Arabidopsis thaliana: one gene and its partners. The protein of the gene in region 2 interacts with the protein of the main gene of each other region in a pairwise test. Each region holds a gene or a part of one and is shown on either strand. Other genes may lie near its edges.

The links.
Region 1: the proteins of KAI2 (region 2) and AT2G43610 interact in binary tests that used the Arabidopsis thaliana proteins (3 or more experiments, as listed by UniProt).
Region 3: the proteins of KAI2 (region 2) and SKP1 interact in binary tests that used the Arabidopsis thaliana proteins (3 or more experiments, as listed by UniProt).
Region 4: the proteins of KAI2 (region 2) and ZML1 interact in binary tests that used the Arabidopsis thaliana proteins (3 or more experiments, as listed by UniProt).

What each region holds. Positions count from the first base shown.
Region 1 is NC_003071.7:18,087,275-18,091,185, forward strand, and holds AT2G43610 (Chitinase family protein), read right to left. Parts: upstream 2,098-3,911; 5' UTR 1,911-2,097; coding exon 1,460-1,910; intron 1,179-1,459; coding exon 784-1,178; 3' UTR 538-783; downstream 1-537.
Region 2 is NC_003075.7:17,616,152-17,620,621, forward strand, and holds KAI2 (alpha/beta-Hydrolases superfamily protein), read right to left. Parts: upstream 2,506-4,470; 5' UTR 2,213-2,505; coding exon 1,845-2,212; intron 1,339-1,844; coding exon 894-1,338; 3' UTR 508-893; downstream 1-507. Other genes in the region: AT4G37480 (Chaperone DnaJ-domain superfamily protein), read left to right, coding at 3,110-3,433, 3,566-4,444.
Region 3 is NC_003070.9:28,514,893-28,518,459, reverse strand, and holds SKP1 (S phase kinase-associated protein 1), read right to left. Parts: upstream 1,942-3,567; 5' UTR 1,746-1,941; coding exon 1,437-1,745; intron 1,180-1,436; coding exon 1,006-1,179; 3' UTR 564-1,005; downstream 1-563. Other genes in the region: AT1G75960 (AMP-dependent synthetase and ligase family protein), read right to left, coding at 1-273; AT1G75945 (uncharacterized protein), read left to right, coding at 2,651-2,754, 2,966-3,047. UniProt on the Arabidopsis thaliana protein: Involved in ubiquitination and subsequent proteasomal degradation of target proteins. Together with CUL1, RBX1 and a F-box protein, it forms a SCF E3 ubiquitin ligase complex. The functional specificity of this complex depends on the type of F-box protein.
Region 4 is NC_003074.8:7,420,240-7,425,408, forward strand, and holds ZML1 (ZIM-like 1), read left to right. Parts: upstream 1-1,796; 5' UTR 1,797-1,982; intron 1,983-2,582; 5' UTR 2,583-2,592; coding exon 2,593-2,886; intron 2,887-3,002; coding exon 3,003-3,095; intron 3,096-3,168; coding exon 3,169-3,302; intron 3,303-3,390; coding exon 3,391-3,522; coding exon of another isoform or gene 3,523-3,526; exon of another isoform or gene 3,527-3,893; coding exon 3,894-3,999; intron 4,000-4,126; coding exon 4,127-4,198; intron 4,199-4,296; coding exon 4,297-4,359; 3' UTR 4,360-4,666; downstream 4,667-5,169. Other genes in the region: AT3G21170 (F-box/associated interaction domain protein), read left to right, coding at 1-921. UniProt on the Arabidopsis thaliana protein: Transcriptional activator that specifically binds 5'-GATA-3' or 5'-GAT-3' motifs within gene promoters.

The DNA of each region.
Region 1 (3,911 bases), on a different chromosome or scaffold from region 2:
TTAATCTTTCACGTGACAATCTGTTGCTTTGTTATCAATGTTCCATCCCTATGACTTTCAGATGCACTTAAAAAGGAGCAAATTATATAAACATGTGGAATAATTAAAGAATCATTAAAAAAACAAAATCGAAGGTGGTTCTTAGGAAATTAGATTCAGATCACCAAGTAACCAGTATGGCCTCCAGTTTAAGCCAATCCCAAAACAAAAACACTAGTTTATTTTTACAGAATCTAACAATAGCATAAAATGTTACCCAAAGACTAGCACATCCTTAATAATTATGTTGTCATATCTACGATGAATTTCATGACGGTTAGAAATGATCGGATCATATGTGATCTATAACATTATTCCTCTTCTTTTTTATTTGTTTTGGTTGTTATCATCAATCACAAGCCTCGTTTGGTTCCGCTAGTACTCTAATTTCTTTTCTTTAAAACTTAATAAGAAAAGATGTGATGAACTGATGATAGAAGAAAAGATGTGATGATAGAAGAAAAGTAATTTTCGTTACTTATATGCATGTATACTAGTCTAGTGTGAAACACAGGGAAACCAATATATTGATTGGATAATACTTCCATCTTTATTACTTATGCTAGCGAGCGGATACAAACAACACACAATATAGTTACCTTAAGAGACATCAACCACACAATATAACTTCTAATCTCTTACAAATTTTATAAGTTCTAGTATTTTCGACTTCACTTTATTATTCGATACGAAATTCTTAACCAGACGACATTAATGAAAAACCCTCATAAACTAGTAGTGTCTTCAACATGAGAGATTGGTTCCAGGAGTGACCCCAAGCTTCTTGCAGAAGTCCAAGTAATGGTTAACCCTGCTCTGCACTGCAGCTGGACGCCCACCATTACATTCACCACCGTTGATCCTCCTCGTGGTTGCACCAAACCCTTGGCTCAAAACCGGACGCACATTCTTGTTCCAAAACCACATGGCACACTGGAAAGCCACAGTTGGGCTACGAGCCACCATATCTGGGTCCTTCAAGAGAGGAAGTCCAAGGAACTTTCCGGCTGCACCATAGTTGTAGTTCCATGTGATTTGGATCGGACCGCGACCATAGTAGTTCTTTCCGGGTTGACAAGGATATGTTGTGCTTGGTGAGCAGTACCTTCCTCTGGCTATTTCTTCTTTGTAACAAAAACCTTTACATAACCAAACAGATAAACTTTATTTTAAACTTGTTTTAGACACATTCTTGGAACACATTTTGGTAATATATATAGCTAGCAAATCCTTATTTCTTATGAGGAAAATATTCCTGTCTCTATATTTTTCTTCAATTATCAAAATAAAGTTTTTAATGCAAACTGATAAATCAGATATTTATATAAATTTTTAAACATGATAATACTTTAATAATTCCTTTTTAGACATTTTCTGATACATAAAAAGAATAATAGAATGTAGTAAACGGTGAACTTACTTCCAGATTCGTGAGAGAACTGAGCCAACATGGCGGCAATCTCACGCTTAGCAACAGTTCCTTTGTAGGCTGCGAACGATTCAGCGGCTGCGATGAAAGCCTGGCGAGTGTAAAACCCTTTCGCTGGGCAACCGCTTCCGACTTTACTCATGATGCTGTTGAAGAACGCTGGTGTGATAACGCTTGCTATGGTACCACGAGGACCAGCATTTAGACCGCCACTACCGCTTGGAGTCGGAGTAGGTTTAGGTTTAGAGTTGCAAGGTCCACTCTGGCACCCAGTGCCACAGTAGGCTTTTGTGGTACCACAATATCCCCACCTGCTGCAGCACATGTTGCCTTTACACCCGTTTGTACCACAGTTTTGTGAAAACGCGGTTCCTGTCATGATGGTTAGAGTAAAGAGGAAAATGATGAGAGCTTTTTTCAGAATCGCATTTTGTGTCGCCATTTTTTTCCTTTGATGGAATGTTTTGAGGGGAGAGTTGTGTGAAGAAACTAGGAGGATATGTGGCCGTATTTATGGTGTAATATTGATAATACAAAATTATGTTTGGTCAAATCTTAGTTAATGTTTTATAAGAAAGTCATGACCCATTTCCTTTTCTTGTAGTTGTGATTAAGGAGAAATACTATGATGATTTGATTATGGACTTGGTCATAACGTTTATACTTTATAGCTGAATTAGACTAAGACGAAAACGAATTTAATAAAATCATTTTCAAGATAATATTTTTTAGAAGAAAAAACAAGTCGGATTGGGTCGGTTTAAATTCATAAACATCCTATTAGAGCGACTAAAATCTTGTAACATTGAAATAATTATATTTCGAGATGGCTAATTAAAGAACAATGAAAATAACCACGACGTACGTAGTTTAGCATCAAATAATTCAGGTGAAGAATACTAGAATTTGTACATTGTACGTCATTAACATAAAAATAACTATAATACGTAATATGTTGCTTAACAGTGTATATTTCACATTATACTATATGTTGCTTTGTTTTCTTGTTGTAGGATTTCATGAGAGTCGTCCGTATATAAACTTGACCATGTACTATTATTTCCATGTCGTGTAATCTCTATCTAAATAGTAAAGACACGAAAATAGTTTTTTTTTAAACGTCTCTATCTAAATAGTAAATACATGAAATAGTTTAAGACCCATTAATCAATTTTTGTACATATGATATTAATTATATCCAGAAAGTAAGATTTTGTTGAAAAGACTTTTTCAACGACGAGTGAAACATTTAACCACAAGATGTGCTGGTCAACTTAACTTTAGAAATTCGCTAAAAAAATTTTATAAAATAGTTTGAAAACCATTCTCAACTGGACAAATTCTAAACCGTCGAACTATCCAATAGTTTCTGATTGGTGTCTCTTAGGAATACTAATTAGCGCGGAGATCGTTCAGTTCAACATGATTAAAATACTTTCTAACATGATTGCTGAATATATATTGTTGCTTACTTTTTTTTTGGGGTTAAATTTTGCAGACTCACGCATTCATCAATATTGCTTGCTTATACTACACTCAAAAAATAAAGGTATGTGATACGATTTTTTTTTTCAAACCTATTTGATACAATTGATTTCAAATTAAAGCCCATAAATCCGTATTAAGATATGCAGCTGTTATATATATAACAATCTTTTCAAGGAACTTGCGGTGGTCTGGAAATGATAATCTTAAGTTTTCTCACGTAAAAAGAGTTTAGTTAACATTGCAAACTAATAGTAGTAGAATTATCATTAATGAAATGTTGTGTTGACTAAAACGTTAATAAAAAAGGGGTTCGCGAGTCACGACAAATAAAGAGGTTTTACTTAAGCGCTAATTAAGGATCCTTGAATGCGTTGACGTGGCCCTATCCATTCAAATTTCAAAGTCAACTCAAGCATGTCACATGCTCATGGCCTCATGTGAAGGAACTCTTTGTTTTTTCAAGATGTAAGAAGTTAGTTAATAGTAATACTAATTGTTTTTAACAGCCATGTGGTTGTTTTCAAGATGTGTTTGTTTGATTCGTAATCTTAAATTATAACATTTAGGATGATTCCACGATACACAGATCAAATCTAATCTTGACTATCGCAATACTTTAACTCAAATCGGATTTGATCTTGAGTGAGCTTATGTTTTTACTTATTTTATTCAGTAGCCGCTATTTTTCATGTGCTAATTGGTATTGTTTTTTATCTAAAACTATTTCCAATTTTTCTGTATAAAAAATGTTTAATTTTATAATTTGAACCAGATGTTAATCAAATTTTTTTTTTCCGCTATACTAGTAACTTTAAAGGTATTTTAAAAAGTGGTCTGAACCATGCCTTCAAGATCAATGTTTACGTCAAACTTAACTAACTACAGACTATAAACGAAACGTTAGTTCTATTTTTCGGCTAGCTCGCTTTCGCATCATCATAAAACTCTTCATATA
Region 2 (4,470 bases):
ACTTTTTTTTTGGGTAGGCTAATCATAGTATTTGACTAGTGATGAAGAAATAATATTGTACCAAATGATATTTAAATTTCAATAATAAAATAATTTTAAGAAAATAAATAGAAGTTTTATATAAAGTGAATTATAAAATGGAAGTTTAATCATAGTATTGACTAGTAAGAAGCAATACAATATTTACCATTTTGTTTTGTATCACTAATTTTTTAAAGCTATTTACTTACCAATCTATAACTAATTTCATAAACAACAAATCGAATAAAATCTGAGCAGGCGCGTCAATAAAATTTGAAAGTTATTAGTGATAAATGATAATATAGAAAACAATATCTTTTGCACCGCATCCCTATAATAACATCAAACAAATCCATAATTTCATAAGCAAACAAACCTAACAAAATATGACTTAACTCCATCCTAATTCAAAACCCTAAATTTTCATTTTACTTTGTTTAAAACTTGGCTAATTTTTGTTCACAAACAAACAAATTTCAAAACCATCACAATATGTATGTTTTATGGTTTGGATTACCCATCCATAAATGCAAACTCAATGCTAATTCCTAGTATCACATGTTAATTACTCTTCACACAGTATAGCACAAGCACTCTTGCAAAGTTGCAATAATTCACTATGGACCATCAATTACGAACATCACTATTACATCAAGCAATAATGAGCTCTGAGCAAAGCTGTGGACAAAAGACAGAGACTTTTCGTTAAACAAGATAAGAACAACAAAGATCAAGATACTCAAGATAAACGAATCAGAACCAAACGACAACGAAATAATGTTCTCAATAGACTAGACAGACATATCACATCAGATATTTTTTTTCAACTTTTCTTACATCGTTTAATAATTAACTAATTAAATCTCTTACAATCACATAGCAATGTCATTACGAATGTGACGGAGGATGACAGGAATAACAGAATCTGGTGAGCTAAGCTGAGGAAGATGACCATCAGAAGGAATAACCTCGACGACGGATTCACAGCCAAGATTGGCGTGAAGATACTCGGAGACAACGACTGGTACAGCTAAGTCCTTAACACTTTGGAGAATGTGACACGGAACAGTGACAAAAGGTAAGATCTGTCTCATGTCACTTTGGAAAATGGTCTGGCCGACGGAGAGAGCTATGTCGGGACGCATATTGAAGAGTGTTCTGCTGAATTCTTGAACGGCGATGGAGTCCATGTCGCCACCGACGGCGAGTGGAGCGAAACCTAAGCACCACGCTTTGTAGTTGCTTCGGATGGCTTCGAATAGTTGGTTTAAGTCTTCTTGTTCGAATCCACCTTGGTAATCAACATCGTTTACGTATCTATAAACGTACCAAAACAATATAATTTGATTATATATGTTTCTTTTGTCAGAAGAAAATTAAAATATATAATATACTGTGTGAGCACCGTTTCAACAATTTTTTTTAAAAAAAGTGTAAGTAACACCTCAGTAAAACCAAATAAAAAAAAACAAATAAACAAATGGGTATTTCATGATTTTTTGTTCATAATTTACGGATTTTTATTGAAATATATAATGAAATGCTTCACTGATTTTGAGAAATAGGATAATTCAGACAAGAGGATAAACAAAGAGGCACTTTGTCGAAATTATGTCAGAATGAGAAATAAATATTTCGAAATAATAGATAATTGTGTAAATTTAAGGACTTAAGATGATTTTTTTTTATTTAAATTGTAATGTTTAATAGTTTTTATGAAATCAGACAAGAGAAGGAACAGAGAAGCCCTTTTGTCTAAACTATGTCAGGATGAGATAAAAAGCAAAACATATTTCTATGTACAACTTGTGAAAAAGTTATACCTCGGAGAAGCAGAGATCATGACGATTTTGGAGAAGAGATCAGGACGGTTAAGAGAAGCCAAGACACCAATCATGGCAGAAACAGAGTGGCCAACAAAGATACAAGACTCAATCTTGAGATCTTCCAAGATTGCAATCAAATCGAAAGAGTAGCCTTCGAGATTTGAGTAACGATCGAAGTCGAAATAGTCAGGGTTGGTCGTACCGGCTCCCATGTTGTCGTAGAGGACGACGCGGTAATCGTCGACCAGATGTGGAACCAAGTGTTTCCATACTGACTGGTCCGTGCCGAACCCGTGACCTAACACGATCGTGGCTTCTCCTGAACCAATCACCTTCACGTTGTGAGCTTCTTCTACCACACCCATCTCTCTAAAGAAGATTCTTCTCTGGTTTTCTTCTTGGTACCTCTCTTAGTCAGTTCGTGGAGAAATTATGATATTTGTGTTGTTTTAGAGTGTTACGTATTATTCTTTATAAAAAAATTCGTATCTGTGGAAGAGGAAATAAATTATTTAAAATATCGCGATTTACAGGTGGCAAAAAAAGGTGAATGGAACCATGTTTGTTGGATTGTCAAACATCGCTATTCGTGATAATTTGTTTTTTGGAATCAAGCCCAAAATATTTTGGAACATTTAATGGAGTACATGACGTGGAGTTACTGACTTCTGTTCAACAATAAAATTGTTACATTGGGTTACAAATACATGAACCAATTATTTTTAATTTTGTGCATGAATTTCAACAATGCATTAATGCGAAAGAAAATTAGTTTCAATCATTCAAAGAGTGGCAGCAAATAGTCAAAAGCTGATATAATTATTATTTTAACAACACTAGTTAAATTTCGCATGTATACAACTTGCAATGAATATAGCATCTAAAAACCTCATAATATTTGTTTTTTTCTGCTTGACTTTAACTTGTCAGTACTTTTCGATCATTTAGAAGTTAGAAGACATTAATTATTCATGGAATGCCATGGTGAGTATACGACCACGTATTCACATCCACTTCCTCATCATTTTAAGAGTCAAAAATATCTGTGAGAGGATCCTGGCCCATTAAAATTCAAGGCCCATTTAGTGTAATATGGCTTCATGTTCTCTCTTTCCTAAGACCGTTTTTACTGTTGACCAATAAAGTCTGAACTCGTGATGACGTGGCGTGAAATCGAGAGACCCACGTGTCATCGGCGTGCCGTTATCCTCTTTCCACTTCCGGTCTCCGTTCCCACCTGAGTAAACCATACTGGTCGTGAAATGACGATTCTCGCCGGGTTGATACGCCGGCGTTTTAGTAGATTAGTTCCGGTTCAACTGAATTACGGTTTCGAACCGTCGCGAATTCTCTTTAACCCGAGTCAAGGAAGAACTCGGTTGCTGAGCGGCGAGGCTGAGTCCAATCGGAACGAGTTTCCGGTGGAGAACGCTTACGATATCTTGAATGTCTCCGAAACCAGCTCAATCGCAGAGATCAAAGCATCATTTCGCAGACTCGCCAAGGAGACTCATCCTGATCTGATCGAATCCAAGAAAGATCCATCAAATTCGAGACGATTCGTTCAGATTCTCGCTGCTTATGAGGTACAATGAAGAAAGCTTCACTCTTCACTCTTATGATTAGTTTCAAAATCGAAAATTTCAAGCTTTTCAAGCTTTTGTGATAGAGTTATAGCTTTAGAAGTGTCTGATGAATGATTTGTGGTGATGATACAGATTCTATCAGATTCTGAAAAGAGAGCACACTATGATAGATATTTGCTATCTCGGAGAATGGTAATGAAGAAGCACTCGGGACAAGGTTATATGATTCACAGGTATAAAACAGGATTGACATTGAGTCAAGAGATGGAAGTAGTTGAATGGTTAAAGTGGTATAGAGAAGCAATACATGATATAGTATTGGAGAAGAGAGTAGCAAATGGTACTGGTTACTTAGATGAACTTGAAGAAGATTTTTATTCAGCTATACGAGCGGCCTACTTTGGGCCTGATGTTGAATCTGTTGAGCTTCTTCCTGATTGTTTTGAAGCTGAGGAAAGGTCTGTGTATGATACACGAGAGGTTTTGCATTTGGTATCAGGACGGGATCTTTTTGGTATGGTTTCCTTGGTTGATAACTTCCTTGAGCTTTCTTCTGCTTGCTCAAAGAAATTGGCTTTGTCGTCGTTTATGGATTCGGACCTTGGTCAAGCAGTTGAGAAAGGCAACAATGACATGATGTCTGCTGAAAGGATTGGTCTTCAGATATCTCATATACAATCTTCAAGAAGTAAAAACCATGTTTCTGATGCGTATAAAGATATTCAGCTGCATGTATCTGGAAGAGTTGTTGCTACAGCCATTAGGGTTCCCCCAAAAGGGTATCATGAAAAGAAACAAATTGAGGGTGATCACGATCTTATACACGTTTTCCTCAATTCAGATGAAGGATCTAATCATGGCACTGAATCGCCTCCGGGAAATGAAAGTGGTGCCAGACTTCTTGTTGGAACTATAAGTGGTCTTGGGACAATCCCAGATGAAGGTTCATGTTATGTCTATGATGGGAATGGTGCTAAGACTCATGTGATAATGAAACATAGGACATTTCTGGTTTGTGACTTATATGATCTAGCATT
Region 3 (3,567 bases), on a different chromosome or scaffold from region 2:
GATCGCGCCAGACATCGGAACGGAAAACTGGAGCTCGTACATTTCCGGAGTATTAGCAGATAGGACAGAGACAACGTCGGATCTTCCTATTCCAATGGAAGACAGAGCAGACGCGACGCAGAGGCAACGGTGATTCGTTTCTCGCCATGTGTACACGGTGGAATTGCCGTAAACGATGGAGGTACAGTCTCCATACACGGTGGCTGCTCTCTCAAGAAAGCCTAACAGTGTCAATGGTAACGAGTTAGCGGCACTTGGCTTCAAATCTTCCATTTTCTTTAGCTCTTTTCGAGTGACCACAATGTGAGTGTTACTGTATATAAAGAAGATATCTCTTTCAGTCTCATAGTAAAGATAAGATACACAATGACGAGACGAGAGACCACTTGACTAGCCAGACAAACAATTAAAGTAATTATATTGATGTACATGTGATCCACGTTCGGTTGAGTGGAAACTTTGTTTTCTTATATGCAAACAAAGCCCACATGTTATCGAATGTTGACGAATGGGTGATGCTGATTATGTTAGTATTTGAGAAGATGTTGACAAGATACAAATACGTGATGCAGATATTTATGTAAGTAGATGAGCAGGAGCAGGGCATAACTGGTGACCATTGGTTTCAATGAGTAGTCGTCATGATCCTTCACATTCTGCTTGCAGACTCTGCCAAATTCAGTTTCTTTTTATTTACACATGAACATTCCTAAAATGAATCGTGCAAATTAGCATTCTGTGGCGATTGGCAAGACAATTGAAAGAAGTTATTTTGTAAGACAAACCAACATCACTCTTGAAGATTATCTAAAAGCACAAATTATCCATCCCACAAAGAGTAAGAAACATTGGTTCTTGATAAGAAAGAAAGAAGAGGAAGAAGATAGTCATGATTCATGAAGAATATTAAAAAGCAAGTCATCAACAACACTTGAAAACGGCAATAAACATAAGGAAGAAGAAACTGGTTGCTTGCTGCTTTTGATTCTTCTCTCTGAAGATCAATCATTCAAAAGCCCATTGGTTCTCTCTGCGAACCTCTTCCTCTTCCTCTGGTGTGAAGTCGTTCTTAATGTTGAACGTTGTGCGGATCTCTTCTGGAGTCTTTCCTTTGATCATATCCGCAACTGTCTGACATGTTAGATCAAGCAAGTTCTTGATATTCAGGTAATTAGCAGCCTGCACAAGATCCCAAATTCATAACCATTAGATCAAAATCCGAATCCAAAAACACAGATATGATTATAATCCAAATCGATAGATTCAATTAATGATTGGTTCCATAAGAACCCTAACAATATCAATCTCAAGCAGATTCAATTTCTGAAACAAACACCTAAATTTCGAAACCCTAATTTTCCCAAATCGAAAACCCTAGAATCCCAAAATTCAAAATTCGATGGAAAAATCAAATCAGATCGAGAGAAGAAACATACCAGAATGAGTTCAAAGAGAGTAGCTTGATCGATCTTCATAAAATCAGCGTCCCAGGCCTTAAGATCGTCATCGGAGGTAGCAGCACCCTCGACGGCCTCGGCCTTAGAGGCAGCAGCCTCGACGTGCCTCTTGCAATACTCGATCACCTTGGCGAGGATCTTGCTCGTGACGTTAGGAAGAGGGACTCCGTTGTCGACGCAGTCGTCTTCAACCATATGCGCTATGGTTTGTGACTCGAGAGCCACCGCCTCCTCAACCTCGAAAGATTCACCATCGGAACTCTTCAACACAATCTTCTTCGCAGACATGGTTATGGAAACGAAGAGAGAAGAGAAAGATTTTAGATTTGGGAGATTTGTTCTTTGAAGAAAATTTTGGAGAAGCGATGAATGAAATAAAGAGATGCGTCTCTCTTTATATATAAAACAATCCCTAATTTTGATAAGTCGGTCGATTGTTAAAAAGTCGCAAGTTTAGGGAAATTAGGAAATTGTTTCAAATTTTGTTTTTCTAAAAGAAAAATAGAAATCAATCCTATTGATTTTAAATTTTGTTTTCAATAGTTGAAATTAATGAAATTAGGACTCTGTTCTATTTTTCTTTTGGAAATATTAACTTTGATCCGTTTAATTCGTTGTATTTATCTCATTATTAATAATATATGATTTTATATATATTTTTTTTCCATCCAGCTCCATAATTGTCAAAAAAAGTAAAAGAACCAAAAATCACCGTAGGATAAGTATTAGTCAATCAAATCAGCTTTGTCAGCTTTAAGATCATGTTTTTTGAACATTTATTTTTATTTTATATTAAGTTAATATTAATATGTCATAATAAATAATATATCTAACTAGTTTTTGGTCAAGAGTCATACAATATTTTAGGCCTGGGATAACGGTTCAACCCGAGAAAACCGAACCGAAAAAAACGAAAATTTTGGTTTTCGGCAGCAACCGAATTAAGGAGATCGAACCGATCGGCCAAATTAATTTAAGAATTCGGAAGTCGGTTCGGGTCGGTTCGGTAATCGGAACCAATCGGTTTCACCCATACCGAGAATCTGCAGCCATATATAAGGTTAATTGATGAGTCTTAACCTAATTAGGTTTCTTCTTCGTTTTTGGCTCTCTGCCTCTTGCGAAAACAACAAAGAAACTTTGATATTTTTCTTCGATTGAATTAGTAATCATCAACTCGTCTCTTCTCCTTCATGAATTCATCATCTTCCAAGCCTCTTTCATTCTCTCTAATCTCAGTTGGTCTTACAAAAAACCTTTGCTCAGAGATTCAACCCACAACCTCAACTTTCTTAGGGTAAACTCTTCTTATTTCTCTTTAATCATTTGTTTTGTTTGATTCTTTGCTCTCTAAGCTCTTCCTCTGTCTCTATAATTTCTGAAATTTTAGAGTTAGGCTTTACACTTCCAAATCTGAGATTATCCATTATTTTTATGGATCTTTTATGGTTTACACTTCCATCTCATGTTTTTTCTTACTTCATGGATAACAAACGGGCGTTTAACAGGTCTCGTAGGGCATTACGTCGTCGGAATGGTAGATCACTAGATTGGAGAGGCACTGCTCGACGTCGCAGTTTGGAGTTGTAGTCGTACATATTTTTTTTGTCAAAACTCAAAACCCTAATTTTGTAATGGACCTGACCCATAATTGTGTTGTGGATTTGTAATTGTAACTGTATATTTGTGTATTGGGCCTGTTGTTTGTTTTTTATTAGATTTCATTTTTGTAAGTCCATTTTTTTAATTTGTGGTTTATTTGGTTCAAATTAACCGAATTAGAAAAAAAATCGGTTTAATCCGGAATTTAATTTATACCCAATAACCGAACCGAAAAAACCGATGTCCGAACCGACCCGAACCGAATTTTTGTTCGGTTCAATTCGGCTAGAAATTAAAAAATCCAAAAACCCCGAAAAACTAAATAAACCGAACCGATTAAACCGATATATCCGAACTCCCAGGGCTACAATATTTATATAATGCTGTGGATTTTATTCTCTCTTTCATTTATTTCTTAATGGGTAATATATATTCTTAGATATAATATTCAACTTTGTTTTGTTTTCTTTTCTAGTTATAACTAATCATATACATCAAGATAAGGTGT
Region 4 (5,169 bases), on a different chromosome or scaffold from region 2:
AGCCTAAAAGAACATCTTTCTAATAATTATTCAACAGAAGTCGATATAGGCCACGTCTTTCACTGCGATGGCTTATTGCTATGCACCACCAAGGACTATAGACTGGTGGTTTGGAATCCGCTTTCAGGTGAAACAAGGTGGATTCAACCAAGATTTTGCTACAAGAAAGATGACTGCTATGCTCTCGGTAGATCCTCTTGCAACAAGTACAAAATCTTGAGGCAGGGTCGTCTTATCAATCCTAGCGAAGAACGTTACGTGTACAACATCGTGGGGGAGGATCTTGTTATCAACAATAGCCAAGAACGTTACGAGTACGAAATCTATGACTTTAACTCTAATTCGTGGAGGAGTATTGGTGTGATCACCGGCTTGTTCAATCCAAATATCACCAGTGGCGTGTCTGTAAATGGAATCACTTACTGGTTTGATATTAGTGAACAATTCTTACTAAGTTTTGATTTCTCAACAGAGAGATTTGGAAGTGAGTCTCTCCCAGAGGGTGATAGTCATTTGGCTTTATCAGTGACTAGACAAGGGAAACGACTTTGTATGTTATCTACTAATTACACATACGTAACCGGAACAAACGTTAACTTATGGATAGCAACGAAGACTAGTGAGAACACCAGAGCAATGTCATGGAGCAAGTTCCCAATACTGCGGGGCGGAGTTGGTCTACGCTATCGTTGTCATTTTAGGGAAGGGGTGAGTTTCTTCGCATACCAAGTTAAGGAGAAGATTGTTGTAGTTTCTTGTCATAGACCCAACCGGCACTCCAAGGACATCATACACATTGTGGAAAATGATAAATTCATAGAATTGGATCATCATGGTGCAAAACCTACACATGAATTATCTCCTACCCCACGTCTCCTCATATATGTTCCAAGTTTGGTTCAAATTCAACATGGTATTTAGTTCTTTGGAGGAGGCACCAAGTCAGCCAGTGCATGGCCTTGTAATTGTCACACTAGTCTATGCATTATCTAATCTAACTCTTGATATTTTATAAGTAAGATATATGTACGCATTTCTAAGTTATAACTTGTTGCTACCCTTTTGCTAGTGGATAATTCGAGGCACATGGCATTTTCATAATTGGTCAATTAGTTATTAAGTACCAAAATTTTGAAAAGGAAAAAAATTAGAAATGCTTAGAACATATTAGAGCAAAACATATGTAAATTTTGTGCAAGAATAAGGGAAAAGCAAATAAAATCAAAATAAAATTGTATATTGTGGAATTAAGAAATGAAAGAGGAACGCAATTTAGTTTTAAAATCTGACATATTAGATATAGTTGAGTCAATTGTTTTCCACCGAAGAATTGGTTGTGGTTCCATCTAACTTAAGATATTTTGTGTTAAGATGGTTTATTTGTAGAGATATATTATAATTATATATGATTTCTAACCAAAACAACAAGAAGTTTTTAAAGATGGGTACAAATTGAATTAACTAATGTAATTCCACATTGTCATTTGGTAAAAGAAAGATATCTTGACAAAAGAGATTAAAAGAATTATGTGAAAAACCTTGGCGACCTTAAACCATCTCCAATGTCTTTATATCTTTGGCATCATTAAGAGTAAATGTGTATCTTGATCAAACCTGAAACCACTAAAGAAAAACATATGAACTCAAATAGAGGCCAATTAAAGATGAGGTCCAAAGAATAGGGAGTGTCAAGCCTTTCACAAAGACGACGCCGTTTGGCTAAAAAAGGCCCAAGATCACAACGACGACGTTTGCTGAAGAAAAATGAAAAATCTTTCACTACAATCATTAGACCAAAAAAGAAAAAAAAAATCAAAGGAGCTTCCTTTTTTCGCTCTCGTCTCCGTTTACCCTTTTGGGATTTTTCCCTAAACCTTTTTCTCTCTTTGTATAATCAAATCCTCTTTATCTTTCATTGTTTCGCGTGAATTAGCTCTGCAAAGGCTCTTCATTCTTCTCGCTTGGATTCCTCTGCACAAAAGGTACCCATTTGATGTCAATTTTGGTTTATTGTTTTGATTGCCCTGTCCAAGTGACAAGTCTTTGTATGTATGATATAGGTAGTGGGTTCTAGTTTGTAGATGAACTTGTCGAATTTGGAGGGTTTTTAGTTGGAAGCATTTATATGTGGGATTTGGAATTGTTCTGTCTATTTGTTCTTAGCTTAAAGGTTGGGACTTAGCTTAGGACTTATGAGCATGAGAGAAGGAGACTTTTTTTCCAATTCGAATCTGATTGATGAAACTTTTTTTACTGGATTTGGGTAGATATTGTTACGTTTTAAGGTAGTTGACTGTTGTTAGTTGTTGTTTACTCGAGATTAGATTATTGTCATCTACTCTTGTTATAAAAGAAGCTCCTTTGTACTATATCAGTGCTGATAACTATTAATGAAGTTCCTTTCCCTTAGGTGGAGATAGTTTCTTTGTATTTGCAAACTCAATTTATGTGAGAATATATCCACCATTATTGAGTTTCTTCAACCTATACCGTCTCTGACAATCTCGCTTTTTCGTTATTAAGAACGTTCCAGTCTTAATTAATGTTATCTTCCTTTGGATGTAATTGGTAACAAATTGCAGAAAAAAGACCATGGATGATCTTCATGGAAGAAATGGTCGAATGCACATTGGTGTAGCGCAAAATCCAATGCATGTGCAGTATGAAGATCACGGTTTGCACCATATCGACAATGAAAACAGTATGATGGATGACCATGCTGATGGTGGGATGGATGAAGGAGTGGAGACAGACATTCCTTCTCACCCTGGAAACTCAGCTGATAATCGTGGTGAAGTTGTAGACCGTGGAATTGAAAATGGAGATCAATTGACATTGTCCTTCCAGGGACAAGTTTATGTTTTTGACCGTGTCTCGCCTGAGAAGGTAACTTTAAGTTAATTTTGGTTCTTTGATGTTTTAGTTTTGGATACATATGGTCAACGTATCCACCTGGTTGGTTTTGTTTTTCGCTTATTGAAGTGCTGCTCAATATTATGCAGGTTCAAGCTGTGCTTTTGTTACTTGGTGGAAGGGAAGTACCACATACACTCCCAACAACCCTAGGATCACCTCATCAGAACAATAGGGTACTGGTAATAAAAGATTTAATACCATATGGGAAATCAGTTTATTCCCCAGTTTGTTGCTGACTAATAAATGAACCAGGGTCTATCTGGTACTCCTCAACGGCTTAGCGTTCCGCAGCGGTTAGCTTCTTTGCTCAGGTTTAGGGAGAAACGAAAAGGGAGGAACTTTGATAAGACTATTCGCTATACAGTCAGGAAAGAAGTAGCCTTGAGGTACGTTTATGTCAAGTACTAGCTTTTGTGTATGTCGAGCTTTTGAGATACGTCTGTTTTGCAATTAAGGTTTTGTTTGTTCATGCAGAATGCAGCGTAAGAAAGGTCAGTTCACGTCGGCTAAATCAAGCAATGATGATTCTGGATCCACTGGATCGGATTGGGGGTCAAACCAGAGCTGGGCCGTAGAAGGGACTGAGACTCAGAAGCCAGAGGTTTTGTAAGTTGAAAATGCTTTAAATTTCTTACAACAGTTATATTAACTTTAGTGAACTCGTTATAAAACCTCAATTAAGTCTAATACATGGAAACAATTTATTTGGTAACCATTTAATGACGCTCTTTTCACTTCCATAAACTTTGTCTATATACGTCAACTCTGAAATTTATAGTTATACTTATCATGATGGCATCACTCATTCGATACCTGCAACTGATAACTTATACTTGTGAGAGGATAAAAATAACTGAACCGACTATGTTGTTGCATGTTAAGTCATTGTAGTTGATATGAACTTATTTATAGCTTGGTATACTTGGAAAGCTTGTCTCTGTTCTTATTCTTCGTCAAATGGTTGTGAACATGTTAAGATGTCGACACTGTGGAACAAGTGAGAAGTCAACTCCAATGATGCGACGTGGACCTGATGGGCCAAGAACACTTTGTAATGCGTGTGGACTGATGTGGGCAAACAAGGTAAGCTAAGAGTTTCTTAGTTCACATTGATCACCTCGTCTCGTATCACTTTTTTGACTCATTGATCAGGCCTATATATCCGAGTATGAACCTAACAATAACATTCCCTTTGACTTTATAATATCAGGGGACTCTTAGAGACCTATCCAAAGTCCCTCCTCCGCAAACACCTCAGCATCTATCTCTGAATAAGAATGAGGTGAGCCGTGAGCGCAGTATTTCATAGAGCTGGAGTTTTGATTTGCTTATTAAGAGAACATACATTCATTTTTTTTTTCTCAATCACTTTTGTTGCAGGACGCAAATCTTGAGGCTGATCAAATGATGGAAGTAACTGGTGACATTAGCAACACACAGTGAGAACTGAGAAACCATTGGAAGCAAGAAAGGATCTCAAACAAAAACAGTTGTTATCATTTCATTTGATGATGGAATCGAATCTGAGTTGTGTTTAGGGTTTCTCTGGGTTAATCTCAGTCTATGTGGGCACATTTTAGTCTTCTACAAATTATAAGACACTCTTCACTTATTTAGAAGCTCACTCATCAGAAAAGAAAAAAAAAACTTTGCTCAGTCTCTCATCTGTGTGTTTGATTATATTTTCAGGCAGAAAACTTTTTTTTGTTCTTGTATTTGATTACAATTAGTTAAATATTTAAGACTTAGTAGAGATAATGCAATCTATGTATAAAAATAGAAACAATGATTGGTTATGTCGTGCAACCCAAGTGACCTTAATGTCGTACACACGTTCATCAGGTTAAAACGAAATTTCTCAGCAACTTCACTATTCTCTCTGTCACATTGTTTTATTCTTTTCCATTATCTTTATTGGAAACTTGATTAGAAAGAACTGATTAAGGTATGAAGATAATTAGTGTACCATTCTTCACATGATACGAGGTGAACAATAGTATATCAGAATACTAGAATAATTTTATAAGTTATAAAGATGAATGGTATACCACTTATTACAAAACGAAAACATAGTTAGATCTGAGAAGAAGGAAAGATTTTTGTTTTAAAAAATGAGATGGTTAGATATATGCCATGTTAAGAGATGCCACCATGTTCTTCTTCTTCTTCTTACCCGGAAAAAACTCTTTCTTCTTCTCTTTCCCATAAAAAGAAACAAAAAAAAACTAACTTCCCACAAATTTTGCCAAACCA